Linked DNA regions of Oryzias latipes. The protein of the gene in region 1 interacts with the protein of each later gene in a pairwise test. Links are inferred from orthologs where the notes say so. Each region holds a gene or a part of one and is shown in the gene's direction. Other genes may lie near its edges. The genes, in order: vim, beta-taxilin, sumo2, mrpl44, sirt6, ess2 and dihydropyrimidinase-related protein 1.

The links.
Region 2: the proteins of vim (region 1) and beta-taxilin interact in binary tests that used the Homo sapiens proteins (3 or more experiments, as listed by UniProt). The two-hybrid records come from large-scale screens. The link is inferred for Oryzias latipes from reciprocal best matches to the Homo sapiens genes VIM and TXLNB.
Region 3: the proteins of vim (region 1) and sumo2 interact in a two-hybrid assay, tested with the Homo sapiens proteins (2 studies listed by BioGRID and IntAct). The link is inferred for Oryzias latipes from reciprocal best matches to the Homo sapiens genes VIM and SUMO2.
Region 4: the proteins of vim (region 1) and mrpl44 interact in a two-hybrid assay, tested with the Homo sapiens proteins (2 studies listed by BioGRID and IntAct). The link is inferred for Oryzias latipes from reciprocal best matches to the Homo sapiens genes VIM and MRPL44.
Region 5: the proteins of vim (region 1) and sirt6 interact in a two-hybrid assay, tested with the Homo sapiens proteins (2 studies listed by BioGRID and IntAct). The link is inferred for Oryzias latipes from reciprocal best matches to the Homo sapiens genes VIM and SIRT6.
Region 6: the proteins of vim (region 1) and ess2 interact in a two-hybrid assay, tested with the Homo sapiens proteins (2 studies listed by BioGRID and IntAct). The link is inferred for Oryzias latipes from reciprocal best matches to the Homo sapiens genes VIM and ESS2.
Region 7: the proteins of vim (region 1) and dihydropyrimidinase-related protein 1 interact in binary tests that used the Homo sapiens proteins (3 or more experiments, as listed by UniProt). The link is inferred for Oryzias latipes from reciprocal best matches to the Homo sapiens genes VIM and CRMP1.

What each region holds. Positions count from the first base shown.
Region 1 is NC_019875.2:29,289,743-29,294,038, reverse strand, and holds the start of vim (vimentin), read left to right. Parts: upstream 1-1,496; 5' UTR 1,497-1,582; coding exon 1,583-2,106; intron 2,107-2,304; coding exon 2,305-2,365; intron 2,366-4,296. UniProt on the Homo sapiens protein: Vimentins are class-III intermediate filaments found in various non-epithelial cells, especially mesenchymal cells. Vimentin is attached to the nucleus, endoplasmic reticulum, and mitochondria, either laterally or terminally.
Region 2 is NC_019880.2:1,119,718-1,123,668, forward strand, and holds the start of beta-taxilin, read left to right. Parts: upstream 1-1,151; 5' UTR 1,152-1,166; coding exon 1,167-1,364; intron 1,365-3,013; coding exon 3,014-3,061; intron 3,062-3,951. UniProt on the Homo sapiens protein: Promotes motor nerve regeneration. May be involved in intracellular vesicle traffic.
Region 3 is NC_019866.2:13,022,579-13,026,669, forward strand, and holds the start of sumo2 (small ubiquitin-related modifier 2), read left to right. Parts: upstream 1-1,291; 5' UTR 1,292-1,309; coding exon 1,310-1,330; intron 1,331-3,794; coding exon 3,795-3,926; intron 3,927-4,091. Other genes in the region: nuclear pore complex protein Nup85, read right to left, coding at 374-406. UniProt on the Homo sapiens protein: Ubiquitin-like protein that can be covalently attached to proteins as a monomer or as a lysine-linked polymer.
Region 4 is NC_019871.2:22,983,078-22,987,269, reverse strand, and holds the start of mrpl44 (39S ribosomal protein L44, mitochondrial), read left to right. Parts: upstream 1-1,392; 5' UTR 1,393-1,483; coding exon 1,484-1,659; intron 1,660-3,057; coding exon 3,058-3,526; intron 3,527-3,599; coding exon 3,600-3,778; intron 3,779-3,930; coding exon 3,931-4,099; 3' UTR 4,100-4,192. Other genes in the region: dnaaf1 (dynein assembly factor 1, axonemal), read right to left, coding at 1-267, 341-1,274. UniProt on the Homo sapiens protein: Component of the 39S subunit of mitochondrial ribosome. May have a function in the assembly/stability of nascent mitochondrial polypeptides exiting the ribosome.
Region 5 is NC_019875.2:22,352,921-22,356,420, forward strand, and holds part of sirt6 (NAD-dependent protein deacetylase sirtuin-6), read left to right. Parts: intron 1-273; coding exon 274-369; intron 370-451; coding exon 452-532; intron 533-1,654; coding exon 1,655-1,778; intron 1,779-3,500. UniProt on the Homo sapiens protein: NAD-dependent protein deacetylase, deacylase and mono-ADP-ribosyltransferase that plays an essential role in DNA damage repair, telomere maintenance, metabolic homeostasis, inflammation, tumorigenesis and aging.
Region 6 is NC_019870.2:13,790,326-13,794,264, forward strand, and holds the start of ess2 (splicing factor ESS-2 homolog), read left to right. Parts: upstream 1-1,139; 5' UTR 1,140-1,423; coding exon 1,424-1,567; intron 1,568-1,694; coding exon 1,695-1,863; intron 1,864-1,981; coding exon 1,982-2,065; intron 2,066-2,296; coding exon 2,297-2,466; intron 2,467-2,699; coding exon 2,700-2,817; intron 2,818-2,902; coding exon 2,903-3,036; intron 3,037-3,176; coding exon 3,177-3,279; intron 3,280-3,641; coding exon 3,642-3,751; intron 3,752-3,857; coding exon 3,858-3,939. UniProt on the Homo sapiens protein: May be involved in pre-mRNA splicing.
Region 7 is NC_019859.2:12,435,185-12,438,684, reverse strand, and holds part of dihydropyrimidinase-related protein 1, read left to right. Parts: intron 1-292; coding exon 293-354; intron 355-484; coding exon 485-565; intron 566-1,784; coding exon 1,785-1,853; intron 1,854-1,930; coding exon 1,931-2,051; intron 2,052-2,167; coding exon 2,168-2,324; intron 2,325-3,065; coding exon 3,066-3,207; intron 3,208-3,286; coding exon 3,287-3,457; intron 3,458-3,500.

The sequences.
Region 1 (4,296 bases):
TGGATCTGTTTAAATCAGCTAAGCTCTGGCTATCGAAGCCAGAAAAGGCTACAAGCTTTTCTCAAAATCAGCACAGTCCAGAATGTTTCGTCCCATTAGGAGCTAGGACATGATTCTCCAAAATGAATCCAAATCCTTTTGCTGCGTATTCTTGACAAAAGAAAAACTTGATTTAAGACTCAAAAAATCTCAAAAGTTCAATCTATGTTCGACTGACACTCGTTATTTTGGAAACAGAAATTTAGATTTATGTTCAAAGAATAAATGCTAGTTTGAGATTTGATGAGGATTTATTCAAATGGACTAACGTCTAAAATGAGTCATTTCCACTAATTACACTAGAGTTTTGTCACTGTAATAAAAAAGAAAAAGTACAATTAGGTTCATTAAAACTCAATAAATACAACAATTTGCTTAGAACTTTGTAAAAAAACCTTTTTATTGGGTTGTTTAACCTTCAGTTTGAAGTAATTCTGTTAACTTTTTGAGCTTATTTCTCCCTTTTTTAATGTGGAACTCCTTGTTTCTTTACGTTGATATTTTATGAAAAGATTTCTCATAAACTAAAATGACTTGCTGCATGAACAGATACATTTACTGCTTTCTAGTGATCTTTAGTGTTCTTTTCCAATTTTTAGGTTACTCATGTTTTCAGTGTATCCCTGAACACAACTCAGTAACACTGCAGCTTTCACACCATTACCTGCCTGTCAATAAATTAAAGTTTGATGATAAACCAACGCCCGAAGGTCCCAGCAACACCAAAGGAGGCTCGCTTTGGAGGTTTAAAGTGTCACTGACTCAGCTTTGCTGCATGTTTTCCTGCAGAATCTGTGCAATTCAGCAGCGAGAAAGCAGCAAATCTAGTGAGAAAAGAGAGCACAAGAGGAAGGAAAAAAAGGATTAGAGCATCATGACTAATTTTTGTCATGTTTGAAACTGGTTGAAGCGGCAGTCTGTCTGGAAAGCTGCATTTTCAAATCCTGGAGCAGTCGGTCTCCCAGTTTCTCTCCAGATCACTGACAGTGAAACACTGCAAACATGGAGTATTTATTGTCCTCGCATTGGAAAATATTTCCAAAACGTGTGACACATTTGCACAAGACCACCTCATGCACTGATCAACCCTTTTAGTATGGTTGGGGTGGGGTGGGAGGGGGGAGTCTCATGACACATTTGAAATGACCAAAGGCTCCAAGGAGGAAAAAAACAAATTAAAAAAAAGCAAATATTTAACTAAGTTAAAGCATGAAATGGATGAAGATCTGATTCCAAATAGTCACTTGGTTTGTGGATTATGCTTTTCTTCAGGAATCAAAGAAAATTGAGTGTGAAAGAATCTGATGATCACAAATTCTTCTCTTCCTTGGATAACGAGCTCCATTCAGAGTTTATAAATGGAGCCCGAAGAGGAGGAGATCCTTTACTGGACCCACCACGCGTCACTCAAAACCCACCGCCGCATTTGCATAAGGAGGAGACTATAAGCGGGTGAAGATGCAGGAACCGCCCATCCAGGCGCAGTCCGCGGACGCAGCTCAGGACGCACCAAACGCGCGCAGCATCACCCCCGGAGCTGAAGATGTCCTACAGATCTGCCCCCCATTCTTCCTACAAGAAGATGTTTGGGGGTGAACAAGCTTCGGCCAGAAGCAGCTACTCCAGCCGCCAGTTCTCCAGCCCGGTTCGGTCCAGCCGGGTCTCCTTTGGTCTCTCCTCTGCCCCAGTTTACGCAGTGAAGACGCAGAGGCTCCGGAGCAGCGCCGCCATGCCCCGGCTGGCCTCCGAGAGCCTGGACTTCTCCCTGCACGACGCCGTCAACAGCGAGTTCCTCACGAACCGGACCAACGAGAAGGCCCAGATGCAGTCCCTCAACGACCGCTTCGCCAGCTACATCGAGAAGGTGCGCTTCTTGGAGCAGCAGAACAAGATCCTGCTGGCGGAGCTGGAGCAGCTGCGGGGCAAAGGCACCTCCCGCATCGGAGATCTCTACGAGGACGAGATGCGGGAGCTGCGGCGCCAGGTGGACCAGCTCACCAACGAGAAGGCGCGCGTGGAGGTGCACCGGGACAACCTGGCGGACGACATCGAGAGGCTGAGAGAGAAGTAGGGGAGGGGGCGTGGCCCTCGTGGTTCCGCTTTTCTGTAGGCCTGTGTGGCTGGTCGTGTAAAATATCCCCACATCACTGATATTATAGAAATAAAGTTTGCAGAAATAGAAACGGAAACACATGAAAAAAGTTTAAGAGAAAGTTCCCAATTCCAATAAGTCTTGAAAAAGTGTCTTTTCTCTGACTTTTGCAGGCTGCGTGATGAAATTTCCCAGAGGGAGGAGGCTGAGGCAACCATGCAAAGCTTTAGACAGGTACTGCTGGATCCAACTCAATCCTTTCCACCCCAACAAAACACAAATGTCTTATTTTCAAAGGTTTTTGCTGCAGAACTCTTAGTGAGAACCGGGATGCTGATCTTAATTTCTCCAGTTCTGCAGTGTTCTTCCACTTCCAAACCTTTTAAAACGTTAAATCTGTTACCTTAATTTCCATCTATTTAACAGCAGGTTTTTATATGCCGTGGGACGGATGTGCTCCCCAGCAGATTACTGCTGAGCCAGTGGAACGGTAGAGTACAGGCTGACCTGGCCCTGGCTGCAGAGGCCAAGTTTTGGCGTGTTGTGCTCAGTCAGGCCTGCAGTGAAAGCAGATTGTTTGAGTCTGACTAGTCACAGAGAAAGGGCAGGACTACAGTGTGGATCTCAGAGGGATCAGACATGTGACCAGAGCTGTCCCGTTCCCGGATCATCAGACTCTCACTTGTTTTGGTGTGGCAGTGGGACTGTCCCGCCGTCACAGGGTGTCATGGTGAATCATGTAAATGCAAAAAAAAAAGGCCTCATGTTTCAAGATAAGTGAACATTTTCTGACGACTGTTTAAGAAAATAAATGGCTTGATGTGGAATTTGTGTGAGCGACAGGATGGATGGCACTGAGACAACAATGCGGCGGCCGCAGCTCCTGCTCAGTCAGGCAGACAGTCACTCTCCCAGCCTGGGGCTTGCTGGGAAAACCCTGCTGAATAGCCCACTTTGTTTGTGGCATTAGTGTGGGAGGGGGGTGCTGCTGCTTCATTTGCTGATACGTCAATTACAAGCCTGCCAGCGCCCCGACAAAGCTGCAAAGCTGCACGGTGCCACTGCAAGTGCATGTGAGTTAAGAGAAAAAGAAACTGATTAAAAGAAAAAAAAAGGGAAACTTTTAATAATGGAATTAATTTTCTAGTCTAATGAACCGTGGAGAGTTTTAGTTTGAGAGTGGAGTCAGCTAATAATAAAAAAAAGAGATTAGGAAGCTCTACAGGAATGCTTGGTGGTTTGGGATGCTCTGAACAAAAGGTATTTTAGAAAAGTCCCAGTGAATTGCTCCCTTGTCCCTCCTAAAATAAAGCTATGCAGGCACACAAAGGCCACCTCAGGTTCCTTTCTATTCATTCACACAAATCTGCTGGTTTCCTGTCATAAATTAGGTGCACATCTGGTCAGAATGTGGACAAATAATGAGACACCTATTTTCAGCCGTAGTAACCCTGGAGAACCCAAGGAGTCAAATTTGGCCACTGTTTTTTTTTAGGCTGCCATCTGGACTCTTCCATTAAAAGATCTTTAATAAAGTGCTAATAGTGGTTTTAGTCTATCACCTCAAAGCTCTTCGAACAACACTGGCAACCTACTTGGGAAAAAAATGTCGGTTGTAAGTTTCAGATTTTGAACGGCTGATTATGTTGAACAAAATATTAGCAGTTTTAGCTTAATTAGTGTCTTTGTACAAAGGTAATTTTGGTTGCGAGGAAGCAGGCCGTGTCACACAGCCACTACCTACATATCGCACATTTTCCCTCGTATGACATGTCTGTCTGTTTTGATCCATGCGTGATTTACGTCATTCATTAGTGTTTCTTGCGTTCGTCATTCGTGGATGTGCGCAGATGTCCGTCGAGGGTTTCAGCCAACGGGCCTTTACATGATTTTAGGTTTTGAGCTGCTCAAAATTTTTGGTCGGTATAAAATTACGCAGTTTACGCATATTTAAAGTACAGTATACGCGTAAGACTCACGCAATTGTGTGTGATTTCTGCAAGATGCATTTGCAAATTTGTGACCTTCTACAACCGTTCCACGTTTGTCTGACAGACTTTTCACGCACAATCTCCAGATGCATAATATTTTTATTGTGCACACGGCGCAACTATCACGTATGACCACGTATAGTGGCTGTGTGACACGGCCTTCAGCCCGCGAGG
Region 2 (3,951 bases), on another chromosome or scaffold:
GACGACCTGAAGACAGACAACGCAGACGACCTGAAGACAGACAACGCAGACGACCTGAAGACAGACAACGCAGACGACCAGAAGACAGACAACGCAGACGACCTGAAGACAGACAACGCAGACGACCTGAAGACAGACAACGCAGACGACCTGAAGACAGACAACGCAGACGACCTGAAGACAGACAACGCAGACGACCTGAAGACAGACAACGCAGACGACCTGAAGACAGACAACGCAGACGACCTGAAGACAGACAACGCAGACGACCTGAAGACAGACAACGCAGACGACCTGAAGACAGACAACGCAGACGACCTGAAGACAGACAACGCAGACGACCTGAAGACAGACAACGCAGACGACCAGAAGACAGACAACGCAGACGACCTGAAGACAGACAACGCAGACGACCTGAAGACAGACAACGCAGACGACCTGAAGACAGACAACGCAGACGACCTGAAGACAGACAACGCAGACGACCTGAAGACAGACAACGCAGACGACCTGAAGACAGACAACGCAGACGACCTGAAGACAGACAACGCAGACGACCAGAAGACAGACAACGCAGACGACCTGAAGACAGACAACGCAGACGACCTGAAGACAAACAACGCAGACGACCTGAAGACAGACAACGCAGACGACCTGAAGACAGACAATGTAAAAACTTATGGAGGAACCTGGACTGCTCCAGCTCAGCAGCTCCACACGCTGACGGTGGTCTCCAAACCACAGAGCATTGATGCAGAAACTCAAACCAAACGTTGAGGACATGGAAAGGATCCGTTTTCAGAGGACTGACCTTTAGCTGAACACATCCTGATCTGAAATGTTTCCATCTATGCGTGATGATTCTAAATCATATATATATATTCAGCGATATGACATGATTTTATTTGGAAATCACCTCCATTTAATTGAAGGTTAAAAAAAGAAGGCGTGAAAAGTGGGGCGAAGTCCTTCCAGGGACGACTTCACGTGTGAATTTATCTCTGCCGTCATCACAGCAGCAGGAAGAATAAATGAACGCTTCTAAGAATAGCGCTCACCTTGTGAAACTGCATTCTGGGTTTATTTGTCAGCATCAGCTCCTGCGTTTATACGGCGAGGAGCAGCAACGCTGTGGCAGCGGCGGCGCAGAGCAGACCAGGCTTTGCATGAACCAGTTTAGAGGAAAACCTTCTGAGCCGTGGGGGAGCTCTGACCCTGCAGCAGAGCGTCCTGCCTCTCCCTGTCAGACTGAGCCCCCTCCCTGGTTTATTTTGAGGAGGTCTTATCACAGCTGTTGGGTCTGTGGTGGCAGGTCGTCCGAGCCCCTCGACACGCTGCCTATTCCCCTCCGGCCTTTGGTCCTGGTAAGACCGTGTCTTCTCACTGTCCTGCTTCTCAGCAGGCCTTTGCACTGAAATAACCATGAAAAATAACCACGAAAAAGCCTCTGCTGGAAATAATCCGCTCATTAACATACTAACAAGTGTTGCACGCAACCTAGCAGCTGTTTGAGAGGCTGTTAACCGCAGTGAGAAATCCATCCCTGCTCCGTCGAGTCTTTGTCAAGTCTCTGTTTGAACGCGTTCCTCAGTCAAAATGCTGAATTTACAGCAGATCCTTCACAGAACTGAGCTGCTGCTGCTGGACCTCTCTGTTATTTGAGCTAGATAGAGACCAGAGAGCTGTTGGTGTCACAACCGCCGATTCTGGCTTCACTACGAGGAGATTAGAGAGTAAATAAATAAATAATGCTCCCATATTAAGAAGTTCCTAAAATAGCTAGTGGCTGTGGAACAGGTGCCATGTGCTGCGCTTGTGAAAGCACAGGCAGCGCCAAGGCTGCACTAATTTTATGCTCACAAACAGGATCTGTACAAGACTGACACAAGCTGACAAAATCACAGCCGGCGACGGCAGAACGCACGGCTGTGCTGTGAAAACTCCCATCAAGGCGCTCTTTCTGGGGTTTTTAACACGTTCAGTAGCATTCATGTCATAGTGGAGGACGTTTATAAAAAATTAAATGAAAAAAGATCTTAAAGCCGCATTTCTTTATCCAAATCAATGCAGATCAGGAGCAGCTGAAAAAAAGCTGTTATCGTGTCTGTGATGTAGAAAATACGCCCGGTGGGCCACGACCTCCTAGCTCCTCCCCTTTCTGATCATCCACCTGCAGACCAACAGATCTATGAACGTCTCTGTTTTCCTGGTCTGAGCTGGAATCTGGATCAGAACCGGACGGATGGATGGATCTGATGCTGCTCTGACGTTAGGTTGGGGGTTGTGAGGGGCTGTAAGCTAGAGGGAGTGTTTGTAAACAGATGGATGATGGGAGAAGGGGGTAGGATTACTCTGTGCCAATTGTACCACCAACAGCTTCGAGGGGATTTTTGGATTTTGGCTAAAAACTGCATCATCCTCGTTAAAAGACCACTTTTAGAAACAGACCTAAACATGGAGACCTACCCCAAAGATGGACGAACTGAGCGGGACACAAGGATACCCACCTGCCAATCAACCCCCCCACACACACTTTATGAAACTTTAAACTAAAGCAAAAGTTAAACAGCTAATAAATACACCACCATCCTCTGCAACGAACATAAAAAACTGTAGACATAATAGATAAGCTACCAGCTGAGCAGAAGTTAGTTTTCTTACCTTTTTATGGTCAAAACCTCTGAAAGCTGCCTCCATTGCTGTTAAGAGGATCTCGTCCTGGTTGGTAATAAATACGGAAACAGAATGAGGAAGCTTTCTAGTGAAACGAGAAAGACGCCGTTACATCACCATAACATCAGCAGCTTTCACCCTAAACCAGTTTCTGAATAAAACCCAGTTATCTTTTGACTGTGGTCTCAGTCTGTCTGCTGTTCTCACCAAACGCATCATGAAGCGCACAAACGCAGCTGATCGGTCTTCTCCAGTGCCTGATCCTTAGATTGATCGTCCACTTCAAGATTCTGTTTGGAAACCTCTGAATAATCCTTGATCTCTGTTTGTTTTTGTCCAGAGAAACATCTTCAGTCTTTTTCTCCACTTCTCCTTCAAGTCCACCAAGGTAGGCTGGAAACTACCGGGAACGGTTCTGGAGAAGCTTCTCCCTCTCTGTTGGAGCTCCGCCATCCGCTGCACTGAAAACAATGAACAAAACAGACTTCCCTGCTGCTCTTCAAGAGTTCTTACATTCATTGTAGTATTATTGTGTGCGCTGCTCCTTAGTGTACGGTGTCAAAATAACCCCCTGTAGGATGACAGACGTTTAAGGCTGTAGAACTCCTCACTTCACGTTATCCCCGTGTCTCAGACAGGCAGGAACATCTTCACACTTTTCTCTTTTTTGTCTAAACCCCTAAAAGTTCCAACCTTGATAAAAAACAACATCCAAGATTTATAAAATGAGAATGCGGGTAAAGATTTATGTAGATCCGGTAGAACAAATGCATTTGTCGAAGAGATTGATGGACAACAGCCAATCAGGACGCAGAACATAGGTGGGCCCTCCATGTTTGCCCCCATTAGCTTAAGTGGACACCCGGTTTTCACGCTCCTTACTTCTTTTTCTAAACGCAAATATGACGTCACCGATTTCACTAAGTAAAAACCTAATCAATGCAAATATTTGGCAAAGACATTTTACGAATCAATGATGATGAAAACTTGGATGGTTTATAAAAGCGTTTTTAAATCCTTTTTTTGTACAAAAATTGTTCAAACGCAATGCATTATGGTCTATGGTTGGCAATCATCGATGCACACTGGTTTTTTGCAGACTTTGGGGAAATTTCAGATACTAGATTTTTGTAGATTCTGACCACGTAGTGAAATTCTGACCCACGTTTTTGTTTCTGCCGCCTCACGGCTGCTTAAAATGAGAATCACCGTTTGTTTACCCGTTAAAAACAGAAGACCGGTGTTCGCTGTGCTCCAGCTGTTGCTAAGGACAGTTCT
Region 3 (4,091 bases), on another chromosome or scaffold:
CATTAAGACAGAGACTGGACTCAAAAATGTCCAGGAAAAGACTTACCTTTCTTTGTTTGACAAAGCACAAAATAACTTAACAAAACGTAGAAGACAAAAATAACGTTACATTTTGATTTTCTAACCATTGTTCCAAGTTTGTTTCTTTATATCCAAGAACATGTCAACTGTGACATTGTTTTAGCTACGAAACCTCCAACTCGTAATGTCGGTCCGTAACATTTCATCATAAACTTTTGTGTTTGTATCATTAACTACTAGTGTATTTTTTTATTCCGAATTTTAGGATTTACAAAATTCAAAATGCTTAGCTAACTTGTTAGCTGCTATTCGATAGCGCATAACAATAAACTACATAGTACGAAAGACTTACGGTTATCGTCGGTTCAACGTCTACCTCCTCCATCGGATGAAACTTTTTAGATCCTTTTAAATTTCAAACTATGAACTTTTTCACCTTAATCATGCCATTTAACACGTGCTATAATATAGCAACGCTTGCGCGCCTCTCTTTTTCTACGACTATCTCGCGCATGCGTCAAATGTAGGACTGTCCTACTTAATGCCTGTTTTGTTTTTTGTTTTTTTAAATTTGCAAGTACAGTACTTTCTTTTACTTTTAATCTACGTCAAGAAAACTGACATGACTGAAGCAAATAACACTATCTTTAGAATCGATATACATTTAAAAGTCGAAGTAATTTTATTCCGAAAACGTGTAACATATTCTCAGAATCAGGAAGATACAATCGTATCATATTGTTAATATACATTAAAACGTTATATAAGTTAGCTATCTTAGAAAATATATCGCCATATCGGTAAATGTTGTCGTTTAGTCGGTGCCTGTTTTTTATTGTAACAAAAAAAGAAAGAAAAACCAAGATGGCCACTGGGCTATAATGAGGGGTTAAAATAAGGAGAGTACTAATATATCACGCTGTACATCTAATACCGATCATATGGGCGCTTTATGAAACGTGCAGCACTGATACTAGTCTTCGGCGTGACGATGAACAGATTTCCTTCGTATATAATAGACCTAAACCAAAAACAAAAGGGAAAAATTCTGCCGTGCGCGTGCATGTGAAGCCGAGTATCTCTGTAACGCGCAGGCGGTAGTCTCCCGCCCATAACTAGACTGCGCTTTAGTCCACGTGACTTCATGCGGCCAATTAAATCCTTGTTCAGTGAACGCGCATTGACACATGCCCGCGCACGTTTCCCCGAATAATTTAAACGGGAACGAGTACGTGCGCGCACTCATATTCTTTGTGTGGTAGCATAGAGAAGCGCCAAAAGAGTGACGATGGCTGATGAAAAACCAAAGGTAAGTGACCCCATTGTCAATTACGATGCTATTACAAATTAACTGGATCGCCGATCTTAAAGGTGAATTTACATTCCCGCGTGTGCTGTTCGTATTTTTTTAAATAAAAAAGTTAAGTGATAAGATTCAACTGTACCTACTTTGATGGACCGGAAGGTATGTGAGCGCGCATGGACTGGCGCGCACGTCGCTTTTAGGCTGATTACATCCCGCCAACCAGCTGGTGTCGTTCTCTATAAATCTTGCGGTTTTCTTGCGTTGTGTTTGTGTGGTAATTAAGTTGTCTGTGTTTTGTAATGACGCACCAGAATGGAAAAAATAAACAAGAAAACGAACTGTTTGTATTTAGTCTCTAGACTAAACTGTTCTAGTCAGTCTGCAACACTTTGGCTTGACTCGTTGAAGAAAACGGGTTATAACAACTGGATACCAAAAATAAAATATTCAAATACTTGAAACTAATATTTAACAATGAATACGTGTTTTTTAGCATCTGTTTTTCATACGGCCTACAATTATGTTTCTATCCCTGGTAATTCTGGTATTTTATCTTTTTATTTTTCCACTCTGACAAACATAAAGAACTATAGAACAAACAATCTGCATGATAAACATTGCAACCCACTTGCCTCACAAAACGAACCTTTTTTGTAAATAAATAAATTAAATTAACTTTTTTCTGGTACAACAGAATGGTTAAATCCAGGTACATAGGTGTGACTTGTTGTGTGTCTTGGATCGTGTTTCCTTAAGTTAAAGGTCTTCTTAATTGGAGGACAGGTCTTCTTAATTTTTTTTCTTAGTCTCTAAATTTTGAATGTTGAACCCCAAGAAAAATGGTTCCTATCAATAGGTGTGTTAATGGTCAGAAAAGCTCTGAGCATTGAAACAAAGAAAGAAACCATCGAGCTGCACCTGACGTTCAAGGTGCGTCCTGCCGAACTGTATGACCACGGGGGAACAGCAACGAGGTCAGAAAACTATTCAGAGATGAAGATGAGAGGCAGACGGAGGCAGAGCTCATCTGCGAGAAAGTCAGGGTATGAAGAAATAAAGAAGTACAAATGCAGAAGGAGCTAAAACAGAAGAAGAAGAATCCAAGGCTGTTTGAGTGGCCTTGCACGGAGAGGTAGCTAGGACCGACAAAGCTGCTGCTGAGAGGTTTGCAGGAGAATTTCAGGTGTTAGTTTGGGAAGAAGGCCACAGCCCTCATCAGCTTTTCAACTGAAGCAAAAATGGCCTCTTCTGGAAGAAGTGACCCAACTTGCATCACCAAGGAGGAGAAAAGACCTCCTGGACACAAACCCATTAAGGAAAAACAGAAGGGGATGACTCTCCTCAGAAGATGAGAAGAGCAAAAGGTCAATTCCTTCCATCACCATCAAGAACACACTTAAGAAGTAGGACCAAGACGTCCATTCAGTGGCACCCCAACCAAACTGAAGTCTACAGACTAGTGAATTTGTTGAAGGTCATGGTCATTTCAGGAACATACTCAAAAATGGAGGAGAAACAGACTTTGGCTAAGTTCTTCCAGCCAGGGTGACTAAGAAACTTCAACCTGTTGAAGCTAAAGAACAGACCTATTCTCCACTCAATATTAGGCCACTCAAGGAGAGTCCGTCTCACCTGTCGGCGCTCTTTTGATGGAGCTGGAAATTTTATTTCCCTACATTATTCCTCTTTTTTGTGGCGATGTTGCACACATTGCCAGATTTCACATCGACTTTGGAAAATCATGTCATCCGTTCTACAAATTTAAAGAAAAATAGTATTAAAAAAAAGAATATTCAAGAAAGAAAAACCAGAAGAAACCAAACCAAATGGGGGCAAACATGCTTTATCTTCTTAATGCCTGCTGCACCACCTTTATGGTTTTATTTACACGTGTTTGTGGTTTTCATGGGAACCTGCCACCAACAAGTAAGTGGGCGATTATGATCCCACATGCGATGTAGTTTTGGTGCGACTGGCTGCTGTTGCCATAGTGGTCCTGCCCAGAGGACGGTCTGTACCATTTATCACAACCAGAGGCTCTGGCCTGCATTGTGTAACAGAGGAAAAAACAAACATGCCCAGGTTTGCCATCACACTGGCGTCCAGTCTGTTTGTTTTCAATAACCTAACCAGGAGATGGGGATGATTGGCGGCTTTTAAGCACTGTACCGAGCCTTGCACCGAAGGGTAACAGTCTTCATCTGAATGACACGGCACACAACTGTCTGGATTTGGCCTTTTCCCCCAGAAAATCAATTGTTCGCTGCAAACAGGCTTCGTTACGTGATGTTAATTTGTTTTGCGAGGCATGCAGGCATCCAAGGCAGATAGTTTTTTGTGTGTGGGGTATTTGTTATGCAAGGAACCACTGTTATTTGTGTCTAAAATGACCTGTCCTGTTTGTTGTTTCTTAAACCGTTACAATATTTATTTATTTATTTCTTTATTTATTTATTTCTTTTTGTAGGAAGGAGTGAAGACTGAAAATAACGAACACATAAATCTAAAGGTAGCAGGTCAGGATGGATCTGTCGTGCAGTTCAAGATCAAAAGACACACACCGCTCATCAAACTTATGAAGGCATATTGTGAGAGACAGGTAAGTATAATCCCCTATTAGACAACAAACACACAAAACGGTGGCGATTCAGGAAAACTATCATAATCACAACGCTTATACAAAAAGTAAAGGTTCGTTAAAAAGTAGTTAGATCATTTAAACTTTGTATTACCCAAGGAATATGTTTTTATATCCCTATATAAG
Region 4 (4,192 bases), on another chromosome or scaffold:
CCTCCTCCTCTTCCTCTTCCTCTTCCTCCTCCTCATCATCTTCCTCATCATCATCTTCTAGATCTGGCAGGTCATCGACACACAGTGATGGAATATCTTCAAGGTGAATGGTTTCCAGCTGCTCCTCGTCATCCAGATTTGTGACCAGTGGTCCGGCAACATGAACTGGAGGAACCCCCAAGGCCTCCTCTTGTGCAGAAGAAGCTGACGTGCCACTGCTGTGTTCCTCACATGTGCTTTCTGGGGTTATGGCCTTCAGGCTTTCACCTAAAAGCAAAGAACTGTACTGTAAAAAAACAGATTTTTCTGAGTACAGTGTTATGGGATAAAACCAGACTACCTTGTTCCTGCAGCTCTTGAAGGGAACGTCTCTCCTGGGCCTGCTGTCTCATCATTGCCATTTCTTCCAAGTTCTTCTGGATCTTCTTCCTCTCTTTGGTTTCCCACTGCTCCATCACCCTCCGCTCCGCCTCCGGCCCTCCTGCTGCCCACGCCTCCGCACAGGCCCGATCTCTGGGAAACACTGGGCGGACATCAAGGAAGGTGAGCTGCTTCAAGCGAGCTATCAAGCTCCTTCGGTAGTTTGGGATCTTCCTCACCACCTCGTTTCCCATCAGATAGAGAACCCGCAGTTCTGGCATCGCCTCGAGTACACAGACAATCTCCGGATCATGCAAGCTGTTGTAGGACAAGTCCAGTACAGAAATAGCCAGGCATTGACGCAAATGGGCTACATCCTCCAAAGTTTCCAACTTGTTGTGGGCGACCTGCAGGGTGCTTAATCTGGGAAGGTAGGCGAGGTTCTCTAAAACAGAAATGTAGTTGTTGGACACGTTCAGGGTGCACAGCTTGGTCAGTGGTTGGAGGTTTTCCAGTTTCAATATTTGATTATCATTGAGGAACAAGCAGCGCAGATCAGTTTGGGCATCCAGGTTCTCGATGCGCTCCAGGGCATTGTTATGGAGCCAGAGAGACTTCAGGCCTGTGTATTCCTCTAGGTTCTCAATTCTGGAGAAACCCTTGAAATGCAGATACAATGTGTCGTTCAGGTGGGGTGTCATGTAGAGTTTGTTCTGCTTACAAAGATCCCTGAGGAACGCCGCTGTCATCCGTGGCCACAAGGAGTTTTCCTTCCCTCCAAGAGACAATCTTTGGAAAGTTTTCATTTCTTCCTGAGAGTCATCCTTCACAGAGGTGTTTAACTTGTCAGAATTTGAGGTTTTGGGGGGATTTTTGCTGTGGCCTTCATCGGTCAAAACCTCTTTGTCCTCCATTTCTTTCCACAGAGGAGACGAGTGTGGATGCGAATTGGAAATCCGAGATTTTTAACGAAATATGACGACCGTCTGAGTTGCAGTTTGAGCAAATGGGGCGGTTTGTGTTCGTTTCCATGGCTACGCGGGCGGAAAGCCGGTTGGTTGTTTCATGCCGGACGCTTTTAGCAGCTGCACCTGCACGCGCTGCTGTCAGGGGTGAAGGAAAGATGGCGGCGGGGTTTCTGTTAAACCGCGGCGTGTTAACTTTAGGGATTCACAGCCAGCGGCTGTGCAGAAGCGTCCCGCTTTTGCAGGTCAGAGAGAAGAAAAGGTGGATGAAGGCGTACACGTTTTTGATGGCGAAGAAGCTGAAGCTCGAAGGGCCTCCGCCTCCGAAGCCCCGGTAAGGGTCTGCAACACAAGTTAAGAGGCCGCGAACGGCCTTCTCATTTCTAGCAAAATAAAGCAGCTTTACCTAGATAAAACAACAATGTTTTAAGTTGCAATTAATTATTTTTCTCCTTGACCAAAGGACAACTAAACTAAAGAGTGCTTGCTTGTCCTTTTTTTCTTTCAATGTGACATTTTTGGACCTTGAGTTTGTGTGTGTGTGTGGGGGGGGGTGGGGGGGGGACAACTATATATACTTGAAAAAGTACCATAAGTAAAACATATAGAGAGACAGACAGACAGAGAGAGCAATGACAATGAAAACGTCCATTCAGTCCTTAAGCAACATGTGACTAAGGAGCCTCACCTGTTCCCCGAGGAGTCCCTCAGGGCTCTGTTTTGGTACATCTACAAAAGTACAATAAGTCAATGGATCATCATGTCTCTGAATTTATCCAGAGGAGTTCTGTTTGCATCTGAAGAAGGAAAAAAAAGAGTAGTGTGGTTGTAACACAATATTTCTTTGAAGTTAATTTTATTAGGTATACTTAAGTACAAGTATAGCAAATATACTATATAGACACCAAAACCGCAATTCTTTTAAGCCTCAGTGACAACAATACAGTTGTGATGTTTCAGGTCTGCTCATTCAATCCCTGTTTTGGCTCTTAGGGTAAAGGACAGGACTCTGGAGCCACACTAACTATAATATACAGTATAGACATGTGTATTTAATCACTGCCGACGTTACATTACCTACTACTACATTTGATGCATTGAGATTCATGTCTTTTATTTTGAAAGGACTACGTGTAAACCTGTCATGCTATAATTATTTTTTCCATATTTTGAAATCAGGTTCTGTTTTTTATTACTTCATTCTCTCCTGCTGAAATTGACTTGCTGGGATTGATGTTATTTAACTTCTGCAATTTGAGTCAACCTTGTTTTCCTGTGTTTCTTTATTTCTTAAATGTCTCAGTTTCACTTTAATGTTCTTACTCATAAAGTTGGGTTGAATAGTTTCTGCTCGTCTTCACCTCTGCGGCAAATGATTCATTTAAATATTATTACATTTTCTTTTAGAAAAGCAATTGGATTTTGTTATAAGAAAAACTCTTAACTGGTTAACTGTTTCTTTGGCCTTTAACATCTAAGAAATCCTTTAAAAAGTGACTTTTGCTTTTGAAAGTTGTTTTTTTTTTTTTTTACCCAAGCTTATTACTATATATACCTAAGAATATTGTCAAGAAAAGTGAGTCAAGTAGTAATGAATGACAAGTTTTTAGAGCCTTTCTTAAAGATAAAAAGAGAGTAGGTGATTGTGATTGTTGTGGCAGTAGGGATCCAGCATTCACCCCTGAGCTGCCGTTTTGCGTCTCTCAGGTTGCCTGTGTTTCATGTCTTGCAGGTGGCAGCAGCCTAACTGGGATTACCACGCCGAGGTCCAGGCTTTCAGCGTCCGCCTGCAGGAGAACTTCTCCCTGGAGCTTCTGAAGACGGCCTTCATCAACCCGTGTTATCTGCGCGCCGAGCGGGAGAGGAGAGAGCAGCTGGGAGTGGACTCTGAGAGCACGGCTCTGTCTCTGAAGGACAACGTTCAGCTGAGGAACAGCGGAGAGCGTTTCGCCAAAAGCTTCCTGAGCGACTGGTGCAGGGCTAACTTCCCGAGACTCCCGGTTGTGGGGGTGGAGAGCATAGTGGGGAACCTCACCAGCGCAGCCACCGTGTCTCATGTAGCACGAAACCTGGGCGTTGAGGACCTGAGCATGAGTGCAGACTTCCCCGTTCCCGACGAGGTTCTCCGCTCCACATTCATGGCCTTGATCGGAGCTCTGAAGGAAAGCAGTGGAGCAGAGCGAACGGGGTTTTTTCTCAGGGTGAGCGCTCAATCTGTGTTGATGTAGAACTGGTACGTTATTCCTTTCTCCCATCTTCCTGTTTCTTCCCCAGGATTTCCTGTCGACTCAGCTGATCGGAAAAGACCTGTTTGATTTGTGGACTGTGGTGGACCCCATGGGGCTGCTGGTGGAGGAGCTGACAGAGAGGAAGTGTCCTCTGCCTGAGCCTCGTCTCATCAGGGCTGCTGGAGCCAGCACTGTCCTGCCACTCTACTTTGTCGGCTTATACAGGTACGGCATAATACCTTACCAAACCACAAAGACATAATTATCAAACTAGTGCAGTTATGGTTGGATTCAGGATTGTTAAAACTACTTGCTTAGGATATTTTCTCTCACTTTTGCGTGGATGTTGAACTTCTCTGGTCTCCTGTCTTCCTCAGTGACCAGAAGCTCCTTGCTCAGGGTCCAGGAGAGACTCTAGTCGGCGCAGAGGAAGAAGCCGCTCGAGTGGCTCTCCGCAAACTTTACGGCTTCACAGAGAATCGCAGGCCCTTCGATTTCTCCCCACAACAGCTTCAGCAGCCGTTACTGCAGTCAGTCAGTAACTGAAACAGCAACTAAGCCTCAGCACCGAACTTTATAAAGGAGACGAGCCGGCGGGACGATAGCCTACAGGCTGAAGAGTTACTGTAGATTGGAAAT
Region 5 (3,500 bases), about 6.9 Mb from region 1:
TGTAGGACTTTATTTTTGCAAAATGTAAACTTTTTTCTCATAATTTTACAACATTCTTCAAATAAAATGTTGTTGTTGTTAAATCTTGAATTATTTTCTCATACGTAAGTTTTCAACTTCATTAAAGTAAAATTTAGGCTATTTTCTCATATTTTACAGGTTTGTTCTCACATTTTTTTTCTGTTGTTTCCCCATGTACTTCTATATACCTGTATATGAAAGAAAATAGATGTGTGCAGTGACTGTTGCATTGTGGGATCTGTCGTTATCCAGACAATATGTCAGAGACAAGGTGATTGGCGTGATGGGACTCAAACCAACAGGCCGTTTCTGCAGTGTGGTGCGATCCAGAGGACTGAGGGGCTGCAGGTAACTCATGGTGGGCTCCTGCAGCTCAGACATTTACCAACGGCATGTCACAATAAAGCTTTTGTTGTTTGATTTATAAAAGAGGGAAGCTGATCAGCACAATATTGGATTGGGAGGACGCACTTCCTGACAGGGATCTGAACCGAGCGGATGATGCAAGCAGGTGAGACGATCGAAGGTGCATCGTTTGTTTCATCAGGATTCTTTATAACCACAAAACGCGCAGATTCTACTCTTTTCAGCGCTTATTTCCTCTGACATTCCTTCTTCATCATTTGCCAAACAGCAGCAGCTTTAGTAAACCTTTGCTTTGTTGTGAGAAATGTGAAATGAAGTGTTGGATTGATTTGTTTGAGCTGCATGGCTTTGGTGTCGCCGTTCTCTCATCCAGAGAAACGGTGAAGCGAAAGCCCCCTTTTTCGGGGGGGTTTATTCACGGATCACCATTTTGCATCCAATGTTTCCTCTCTCAGAAGATTCTCATTCTGTCCTTTATCCATAAAACCTCTTAGCGCATGTTTAAAAGCAGTAAGATGAATTGTGTGTCACTTTGATGTGCAGCCACATAATAGATGTTGAATTACTATTCAAATAGGAAAAAAAATACAGATTTGGAGCAGCGACCTTTGAACCCTGGGTTGTTTGTTGACGGCAGAAAGAAAATGGGAAAAAGCTGCGTGTCATTCAGCACAGAGGGGCTTTAATCTTGAAGGCAGTCTGCTATCATGCTGTGCATACCTCCGCTTTTTGAGAGGAGTTATGTTCCTTATTTTGTTATATATGTGCTCACAGAACCTCGAGGAAAAGATTTTGCTGCAAAATGGAAGTCTGTTGCACTGAAATATCTATTTTAGAGATGGGCATAGAGTTAGCAAAAAGCTGTGCATTTTCTGTATTTCATCGCCACTGTAAGTACGAATAAGTTCAAAAACTGAACTTCACCCGTTAATTACCTTGTAAAAATAAAGAGAAACCGGGATTCCAAGTTTTGAACTTAACATTTTGTCCCAAAAAAACAGTTTTTATACAGCTGAAAATGATTGAAACTTCATCTAACACTAATTTCTTTTAATCTTACGCCCATGTTGAAGTGACGCCATTAATTATAAATTGATTTGACATTTTCTCTGCAACCACCTCACCCAGGAACTGCAGGGTCTTTTTTTTCCCCCCAACTCTTTTATGTACACCTACATATATGCTTTCCCCCTTCAGCAGGAATGGGCAAATAAGAACGTTGGTGTCCTATTTAGGCGAGATGTTCTTTCCTTCTGTTGGCATGCAGGAAAGCAGACCTGGCACTGACTCTGGGCACGTCCATGCAGATCAAACCCAGCGGAGACCTCCCACTCCTCACAAAGCGCAAAGGAGGGAGGATAGCTATAGTCAACCTGCAGCCCACAAAGCATGTGAGTCACTCACACGTCTCAGTAATGACACACGCACACATCAACTGGTTCTTCTTGGAAACATTTACTGATGTCCTTAAAATTCTTAATACAAATCCAAAGACGCATTTTAATTAGTCTAACAGATTTTTATTTTTTTTTGCCAACTAGCAGAATGTTGTCTAAACGATCCTAACCCAAATCTTCAGACACGCTGAGACTGTAGTTCTACAAATGACCACTTGGGTGCATGATTTTTATTTCATTTTTATGTTTTTCTTAGATTTTTGTGGTTTGTATTGCAGGATTTTTAAGAGAGCCTGTTTTTTAAGCAAAAATTTCTATTTTGATGCAAAAGTTAGAAATCGCGATAAGGCCATCTCCTATTTTGCAAATGCAACCCTTCAATTTTCATTTTTGATGAAGACCCACACCGACGAGAATGGTGTTTTTAATGTGTGCTTGTGGCAGACTATGCCTTTCTTCAGATTGTTGTGAATCAGAAGCAAACGAAAAAATAGCAGTTTCACAAAGAGCTTATTTGTGACATAAAAACTACGGTGGGCGGGCCACAAGCTCCCTGCTCCGCTCTGCGGTGGTGAAGGAAAGGGAGGGTGGGGTTGCTCTGCGCCAAAAGTCCCGCCCACAACTCAGAACCAAATTTCTAATAAACCACTGCTGCTCTGCAGAAACTATGTCTTAGAAAATGACTGAGGTTTTTGGGATTTTGTGGAAAAAGAGTATAATCATAAAAAATGACCACTGAGAACGCTTTGAATATAGCACAAAAAAGTTTGGAATAGGCTTTAGTAGTATTGCTGTTTTTTTTTCTTTTTAACAGAATATTCTTTTATTTTTATTTTTAGGTTTATAGTTTTTTTTTCCCCACCGCTGAATACGCTTAAAGTGTTTGTGTTCCGTCGTGTCACCTGATCTTTTTGCAGTTGCAAATCTGACACATTTCCCACAGTTGGGAGGCGTTTCTGCAACTTCTGTTATCTTTGGCCAAATGTTTTTGAATGACAGCTTAGTGACCCGGACAAGTTCTGGCCCTATGTCCAGCACACACGCTCACCCTTTTTTCCTACAGTCATTTGCATTGGTGGCAGAAATCTGGGAAGAGGGGATGCTACATACCTGAAAGTATGGATTTCTACAAAAGGAATTATTGCGTGCTTTGTTTAAATTGGATAAACTCTGTCAAAATAAAATCTAACAGCCATATATGTATCAAAATGCCTATAAACTCCAAAGCACCATTCTACCTAGATCAGAGGTAGCGCCATCCTAACTTTTTTTTCCATGACTTTTTCAACAAAAGACAAAAGGAAAAAAAACACAAAAATCTTCTGAGTCTATCCAATTTAAAGAAAGCATGCAATCATAACTCGCTATCTAAGTTTTATGGAAATTTAGACTTCAAAAGCATCCGCACTCCACAGATTGCTACCACCAACAAAAATGACTTTATTTCTCTAAAATGTTCTTCTGCCAGGCTTTTCTTTTTCTTTCAAGCTTATTGTTTTTAAGTTTTATATGCATAGCAATAAGAAATAGCTTTATACTTTTAATGTAATTTTATTTAAGCAACATATTTTCATATAAGAAAACCTTTTTTCATTTGTTATTTGTGGGGGAAAAAAATCCCTTAGTCTGAAAATCTCAAGGCTAATAAAACCTGCAACTTGTATGAATACAATGATCTCAATAGCTGGTAATTTCCTATAAATTTTCCTATTGTCA
Region 6 (3,939 bases), on another chromosome or scaffold:
TCTATTATTAAAACTACAGATTCTTTTTGATAAAAAACAAGGGGTGGGAAAAAATATGTTTAGTCAATATTGCAATGTCTAAGTGAAATGGGATTGAATTCAGATGAATTATTTGGTGAATATGCCTATGAAAGAAACTGAAAGGGTTCATACCGTAAGCAATCTCTTATGTTACAATCTCCATTTCCAATTATGTGACTTAAAATATTTATAAATGTCTGTGTGCCTCTTTTGTTTGGTTTATTCGATCCTAGCTATGGTTTATTTCCCGGGTTTCGATTTCTCCTCAGACCCAGTTTTATTGGTTTTCTTTTGATAATCATCCACAGCTGTCTTCAGGTCAATCATCTTCAGTGCATTTAATGTCTGATATTAAGCTTATTTTACTTTTCATGGGTCATTTGCTTTGTCAATTTTTTTTACACATTTTGTTTCATGCTTTTTCTGTTTTTGAATCGTTTTGCCAAAACTATGATTATTTAATAAAATTTTAATGTCTGCCACAAGCCTATTTTTTTTAGCACTTTGGGACCTACATGATCGGTTCCTGCTGACACATCCGTCTTTTTTAGACTCTCAGTCACTGGATACAATTTTATAAATTTCAAATTCAAAACTAAATCCACATTTTTAAAAAGGTACTTTGGGGAAAAATCAAACACTTGGTTTTAAACCTGTTTCTTTCCTAAGCTGCAGTTAAACAGAAATTGCTGCTGTCCACGTATCCAGCTTGTTTATTGAAAAAATGTAGTGTAAGGATGTTTAGAATTTCACGGGAAGTGTTGTCATTAGAGAAAAAGGGAATCATGTGAGTATACAGGCTTACCTAGAAAAAAGCTTAAACTGCTTTAAATAACCTCTTGTTTCTATTATCTTTCTTTTTTCTGTCTGTTAACTCCTTTTGGAAATATTGCTTTTCATGTGTGTATTATAATTGCATATGTTTCAGTTTACATGTTGCTATGAAACAATAAAAATAAAAAAATATTGTGGCAGGTATAAATGATTTAATCAGAAAAGAAATAGACTGACACTGAAAGCCAAAAAGGTAAAGAGTTCACCTGAGGGTGAAGGAAAACGTGACAGGAGGAAACGTTTAGTGGGCACTGCACTAAAAGGAATTACCACTAGATGGCAGTGCCAGTCAAACTGGAATGAAGGTCACATTTCTCTCCCAAACTGAAGAAGAGAAGAGCTTCCGGTTAGATTAGTGATCAGACATTACGTAAGTCCGTTCTGATTACGGGTGTTTTGATTAACATCGAGGGTTGATTTATCCAAATTATTTATTCACAACGCTTGTAAGAAATTTAAATCGCCGTTATCGAGTTAAATAATCACTTCCTGTTTTATATTTAGTGTTTGTTTGAAGTGGGAAGCTAGCCTTTACTTTCCAGGCTAGCAGGCTAATTCTTTGGCTATAATGGAGGGTAGCGCAAGCGTGAGGAGAGCGTTGTCCGGGACGCTCGTTCCCTTAGCGATCTCTACAGTAGCTCTTCGTGAGCCCGAGCCAAAGGATAAAGGAAAGCTGAAGAGAAAAGTCCTCGATGAAGAGGAGTACATTGAGGTAACGAAGCCAGCGTCTCGATATGTTTACGACTGCGTGAAGATTTCATGTGAGCTAGCTTGATCGATATTTTGGTTTGTAACTGACTGTACTTGTCTTGTGTTTTTCTCTGGTCTACTTTTGATAGAGCTTAGAGAAAATCATCCAAAGAGACTTTTTCCCAGATGTGACAAAATTGCAAGCTCAAAGGGATTATTTAGAAGCAGAAGAGAATGGAGACCTTGAGAAAATGAGAGAGATATCCATCCGATTTGGATCTAATTTGACCAAATCAACCCCACAATCCTCTGCACCTTGTGAGTAATAAACCAGTCTTTCTGTTTCTGTTTGTGTAGACGGAAAGAAAAACAAAACTTCTTTATTCGATTTGTTGTAATTATTATTCTGTTGTCTTACCTTTCCTTTGTGAGCCAGATGTGACCCCAGCCAGCTTTGAAACCCCAGTGGGCTGTCCAAAATCTCCATCCTCCAATCACTGCAGCAAAGTTTCTGAAGGGGGTTAGTTTTAAATGTTTGTAATCAACTATTTACATTTGTAACGATTTAGTCTCATGTTCACAATTTCATATAAATTGGCTTAAAAACCTCAGTTCCTGTTTAAAAGTCATCTGTCTATATGTTACATTCTTTATCCATGTGCTCAGAAATTGCTAAGCATGAAATGGAAAATGTTAGGCCTACAGTTGGCGAGCACTAAATCATCCCTGTCTTTCATGTATGATTTTATAGAGCATAAGGAGGATGATGGGGAAGACAAAAAGCTTCCCAATCTGGACCGTTTTCTTGCCAAAACTACCAGTGAGGATAATGCCTCCTTTGAGCAGATAATGGAACTGGCAGAAGATAAGGAGAAGCTGAAGCATGCCTGGTTGTATGAAGCAGAGGCAGAGTTCAAACAGGTTGGTGTGAAGCAGTTATGATAGTGAGGCTCACATGACAAGCTTTGAAGCTACAACTACATTAGAGATTTTGTGGTAATACACTCATGGCCTCTCTTATGTAAGCCAATTATGAAATCTGTGAGTTAACGTTTACCAGTTTAATTGTGTCTGCCATATAACTGCATCCAAAAATTGCAGCGATAATGCTTTGAAAATGTCTTGCCTCAAAAGCTTTCTTTCTTTCTTTTCAGCGCCACGAGAATAATCTGGCTTTACCACCGGCGGAGAAAGCTGCGCTAGAATGTGTAAAAGCTGGTCTAGAGACGTGGGAGTACAAGGCAAAGAATGCCCTTATGTATTATCCAGAGGGTAAAGTATTCATTTAAATTATTTCCTATACTGAAGGTTTACAGTAAGCCCAGTCTATTTGAGATTTTTTATTTTATTTTATCAGGTGTTAAAGATGACGACAGTGTCTTCAAAAAACCAAGAGAAGTGGTCCATAAGAACACTCGGTTTTCCGGAGACCCCTTTAGCAACGCTCTCAACAAAAGCCAGATACAACAGGCAGCAGCTCTCAACGCACAGGTACACTGTTTTATTTTAAAACACAATTTAAAGTATCTCATGTGTACAGCTATGAAGTGTTTTTTTCTTACCTGGCAGTGCTACTAACAAGTCATCTTTTCCTGAATCGTGTTGCTAACATGATGTTGTGTTTTTTTCAGTTTAAACAGGGAAAAGTTGGTCCGGATGGAAAAGAGCTAATCCCACAGGAATCCCCCACAGTGAACGGATACAGCTATGAGAGAACACCTTTGGTCGCACCTGGTGAGTAAACCACCGTGGTTGTGCCTGAAGACTAAAACTTTATATGGAGTTGTTGGGATCCTATCTTAATATGTCTGTCCAGCTCAAGATTAACCCATAGTTTCACAGCAGAGCGGGTTTGTCATGCCTTTGTTTTCCCTGTAAACACAGAGCTGTATACACTGTCTTTTTTTTTTTTTTTTTTTGCATCTGCTACCATAGTAATTGTTTTTCTGAGGAGAAAACACGCTGCTGTTTCTTTTTTTTCCCTAACTTTGCTGAAGCTGAAGTTTCCTTTGAGGCAGCAAAATTATCTATAGGCGGGTTTCATGTGCTCTTTCTCCTTAAGAAGCTTTCGACTAAAAGTATTTGTTGTTTTTTAGGTGTTTCTGAGTCCCCTCTTATGACCTGGGGTGAGATTGAGAGCACCCCATTTCGCTTGGACGGCTCAGACACTCCATACATTGAGAGAAACCATGGCCCATCCTTTAAGGTGCCAAACTTAAAAAAAATAAATGAAATAATTGTTGTTTTCTAGCTCCTTTGCATTTTTAAAAATGTGAACATTGCCATTGTTTGTTTGTTGTTGTTTTTTGAAGATTCCGGAGCCAGGAAGGAGGGAAAGGTTGGGTCTGAAGATGGCGAATGAAGCTGCGGCTAAAAACCGTGCAAAGAAGCAAG
Region 7 (3,500 bases), on another chromosome or scaffold:
CTGCCCGTTCTTGTGACACAAGGGACATGCTTCATCTATAATCCTTTGTAAAAGTAAATAATTGTTTGTGGGAATTGTAAAAGTATTCTGTGTCTTAAAGGGCTTCTAATTTGGAAGAGTTGTTTTAGGATATGAAGATATGATTTTTATTATGATGCTTTGCTTCCTAAATTAGTATAGATCTCTTTCCTAGATTTTCTTTTCTTCTTTTTATCCCAGAATTATGATTTTATTATGATTTACTCTTGTTGCTCCAATGAAGCCAATGCAGTTTTTTTTTTACTCCTTTCAGGTATCAACTCCTTTCAAGTGTACATGGCCTATAAAGATGTGTACCAGATGACAGATTCTCAGGTATGCACCATCATCCCTAAGAGCCCAAATGATGCAAACTCACTAAATCCTTTTCTCTCTCAAAAAGATGTTTTTAGAAGCCTTTAATTTTTTTCTGTTAAACTGTTTGTTGTTCTTTATACATCCACAGCTGTATGAGGCATTCTCCTTTCTGAAGCAGCTGGGGGCTGTTGTGTTAGTACATGCCGAAAACGGAGACCTGATTTTTGAGGTGAATACATCATTTTGTCTTTCTATCTACGTAAACTCACACCTAGTAGAGACAGATGCACATTAAGCAGGTCATTATGCCCTTAATGACTTATATTTTGGAGATCATTACCTCTGATTATAATCAGATTAATGACAGATAAATCTGATGCTAAGGGATGCCTGTAGATGCAACAGAACTGATATTACTTCTGGATATGACAATGGTAGTGTAGAATAACAGCTAGGATCATTGATAATACATTGAGTACTAATGAAATGATTGCCGACATATCTAACATATAGAGATATGTCAGTTTTATGCAAGTTACTTCCAAGCTAATGCATTAAAGATTACTTTCTATTGGTATTCAAAAGTAAAACCTGACCTTAACAATATTATATCTAAGAATTGTAATGTGATACATGACTCTTGCAATACTATTGGTTACCTTCTTGTAATATCTGCAAAAGTAGTAGATATGCTTTAATGGTTTTAGATATTATTTTTTTAAGCATTGGACTACAAATTACAGGACCAACTCTTCGCTTTAGCTTAGTTACCGGTAGTTTAGTCGATCAAATAAAAATATACGGTATGTACTGAACACAGAACCTGAGACGTATGTGTCTCAGAAAGACTGAAACAATAATAGTGCCTGTTAAACACAGATTACTATTACTACACCAAGTCTACAACAACAGAACCGACAGATATTGGTTCAGAGAAAAGACAGGACCTAATAGTTATTGAGGAAAGTGACAAATAAAGTTTGTGTCTATGATCTTTAGTAATCTCTAGGAAAATTGGCTCACTATTTTAAGTATGAACATAATTTCAAAACTCTTTGAAGTAATCAACAATATCCCAAAAAGATCTTGTTAAAGGTTTTTGTTTTAATTTGATAAAATATCATGATCTCAGTTAGCATTTTTATTTTGGGCGGTTTGTCTGTTTTTGGAATTTACAAGTTACTGAACATGAGTAAAATTGAATAGATATCTAAAATAATTTGCTGCTGTAACTAGTTACTTCTAATACTGGAGATTATTCAAGGAGAAACACGGAAACCAGCCTTTTGCGAATAATGCAGTAAAATATTTGTTAAACTTTGTCTTCATTACTTAACTTAGATATAATTTAGTACTCAGATTACATTTGTGACTAACAGCTCACTTCCCCTTGCTTTAATCCTGACAGAGTATAATATATGACAATGATTCTTTAAATCTTCGTATAGGAACAAAGAAAAATCCTTGGGATGGGAATCACTGGTCCTGAAGGGCATCCTCTGAGTCGTCCTGAGGAGGTATCTTTTATATCCTATAAGTATCAGTTCATGAGTAGCACAGAGGTTCATCAATCTGCCTTTATTTTTCTATGCAGGTGGAAGCTGAGGCTGTGTTTCGTGCCATCACCCTCGGTAACTGTGTGAACTGTCCTGTCTACATCACAAAAGTGATGAGCAAGAGTGCCGCTGACACCATCGCTCAGGCCCGCAGAAAAGGTTTGCACAGCTCTGTTTTTTTTTTAACCTTTTCTAACATTTGATTATATTTTTCAGAAATAACTTTATTTGTTCATCGACTTCAAGTGTTATACTTCTGTTATTTTCCACTCTAGGTTCCGTGGTATTTGGAGAACCAATTACAGCTGGCTTGGCGACGGACGGTTCTCATTATTGGAGCAAAAACTGGGCCAAAGCAGCTGCCTATGTGACCTCTCCACCTTTAAGTCCTGACCCCACCACACCAGAACATCTCCACACCCTGTTGGCCAGGTATGAGTTAAGTCTTTTCAATTTTATTTTTATTTTTGCCATACATCCCAACATTTTCTAATTATATTGTATCCCTTTTTTTTACAAATCTGTTTATATAGTTTTTTATAGACCAAAGCTTTATGGAGGTGGATGAAGCAAAAACCCAGCTTTGCTCCACCTCAGACACATGCACACGCCCAGAAAAAACTGTTGATTTTGACTGTTCCTGTTGCTAAAAATAGCTTAGGAACCAGAATCCTTCATCTTTAGTTGCCTTGGTGACCAAGTTCCTCTCTCCTCCTCCTCCTCCTACTCTGCTCTATAGGTGTGTCAATGCTGTCGCAGCAGTCGTGTGATCCTGCTGTTGTCCTTGATCCTTACCTGAAGGACAAAATGTATTTTTAGAATTTGTTTTTTCTATGGTCGAGAGCTTCCTGTCAGATTTTCATGCTGCCCATCATGTTTTAGCAGCAGTAATGCTTAGTTGCTTGATTGGATGTCCTCCTAGTTCAGTATAACATCTAATAGTATTATTTAGAAGAAAACAATATTACTGATTGTCATAGTTATATGGCGGTTGATTAAATTATACAAAAGTGCAACATGTTTTTCAGTTAGGTTACATGAGGGCATCTCTTTTTTTCTCTGAACTGTCTGCTTAATCTTGATTTTTGGGAATGAATAGTATATATTTTTGTTTTGGGCTTATTGACGCTTTTATGTGTTTATAATGTCTTTGGCTGTGTTTGTTTGGCCCAGCGGGGACCTGCAGGTTGTGGGCAGCTCTCACTGTGCTTACAGCACATCTCAGAAAGCCATCGGTAAAGATGACTTCACCTTGATCCCAGAAGGAACCAACGGGGTAGAGGAGAGGATGGGCTTCGTCTGGGACAAGGCTGTGGTGAGATCTGAGGGCCTGTGTGTTTCTGCGTAAACTGTCAGCCAAACCATCTTTAACGTTGTGTCTTTTGTTTCTTTAGGCCATGGGGAAAATGGACGAGAACCAGTTTGTGGCAGTCACATCAACCAACGCAGCTAAAATCTTCAACTTGTATCCTCGTAAGGGACGCATCGCTGTGGACTCTGATGCAGATATCGTCATCTGGGACCCAGACATTGTCAAAACCATCACTGCGAAACAGCAACAGTCGGTGAGAACACGAAGGATACAGATGTGAAAAGATATTATGTGGA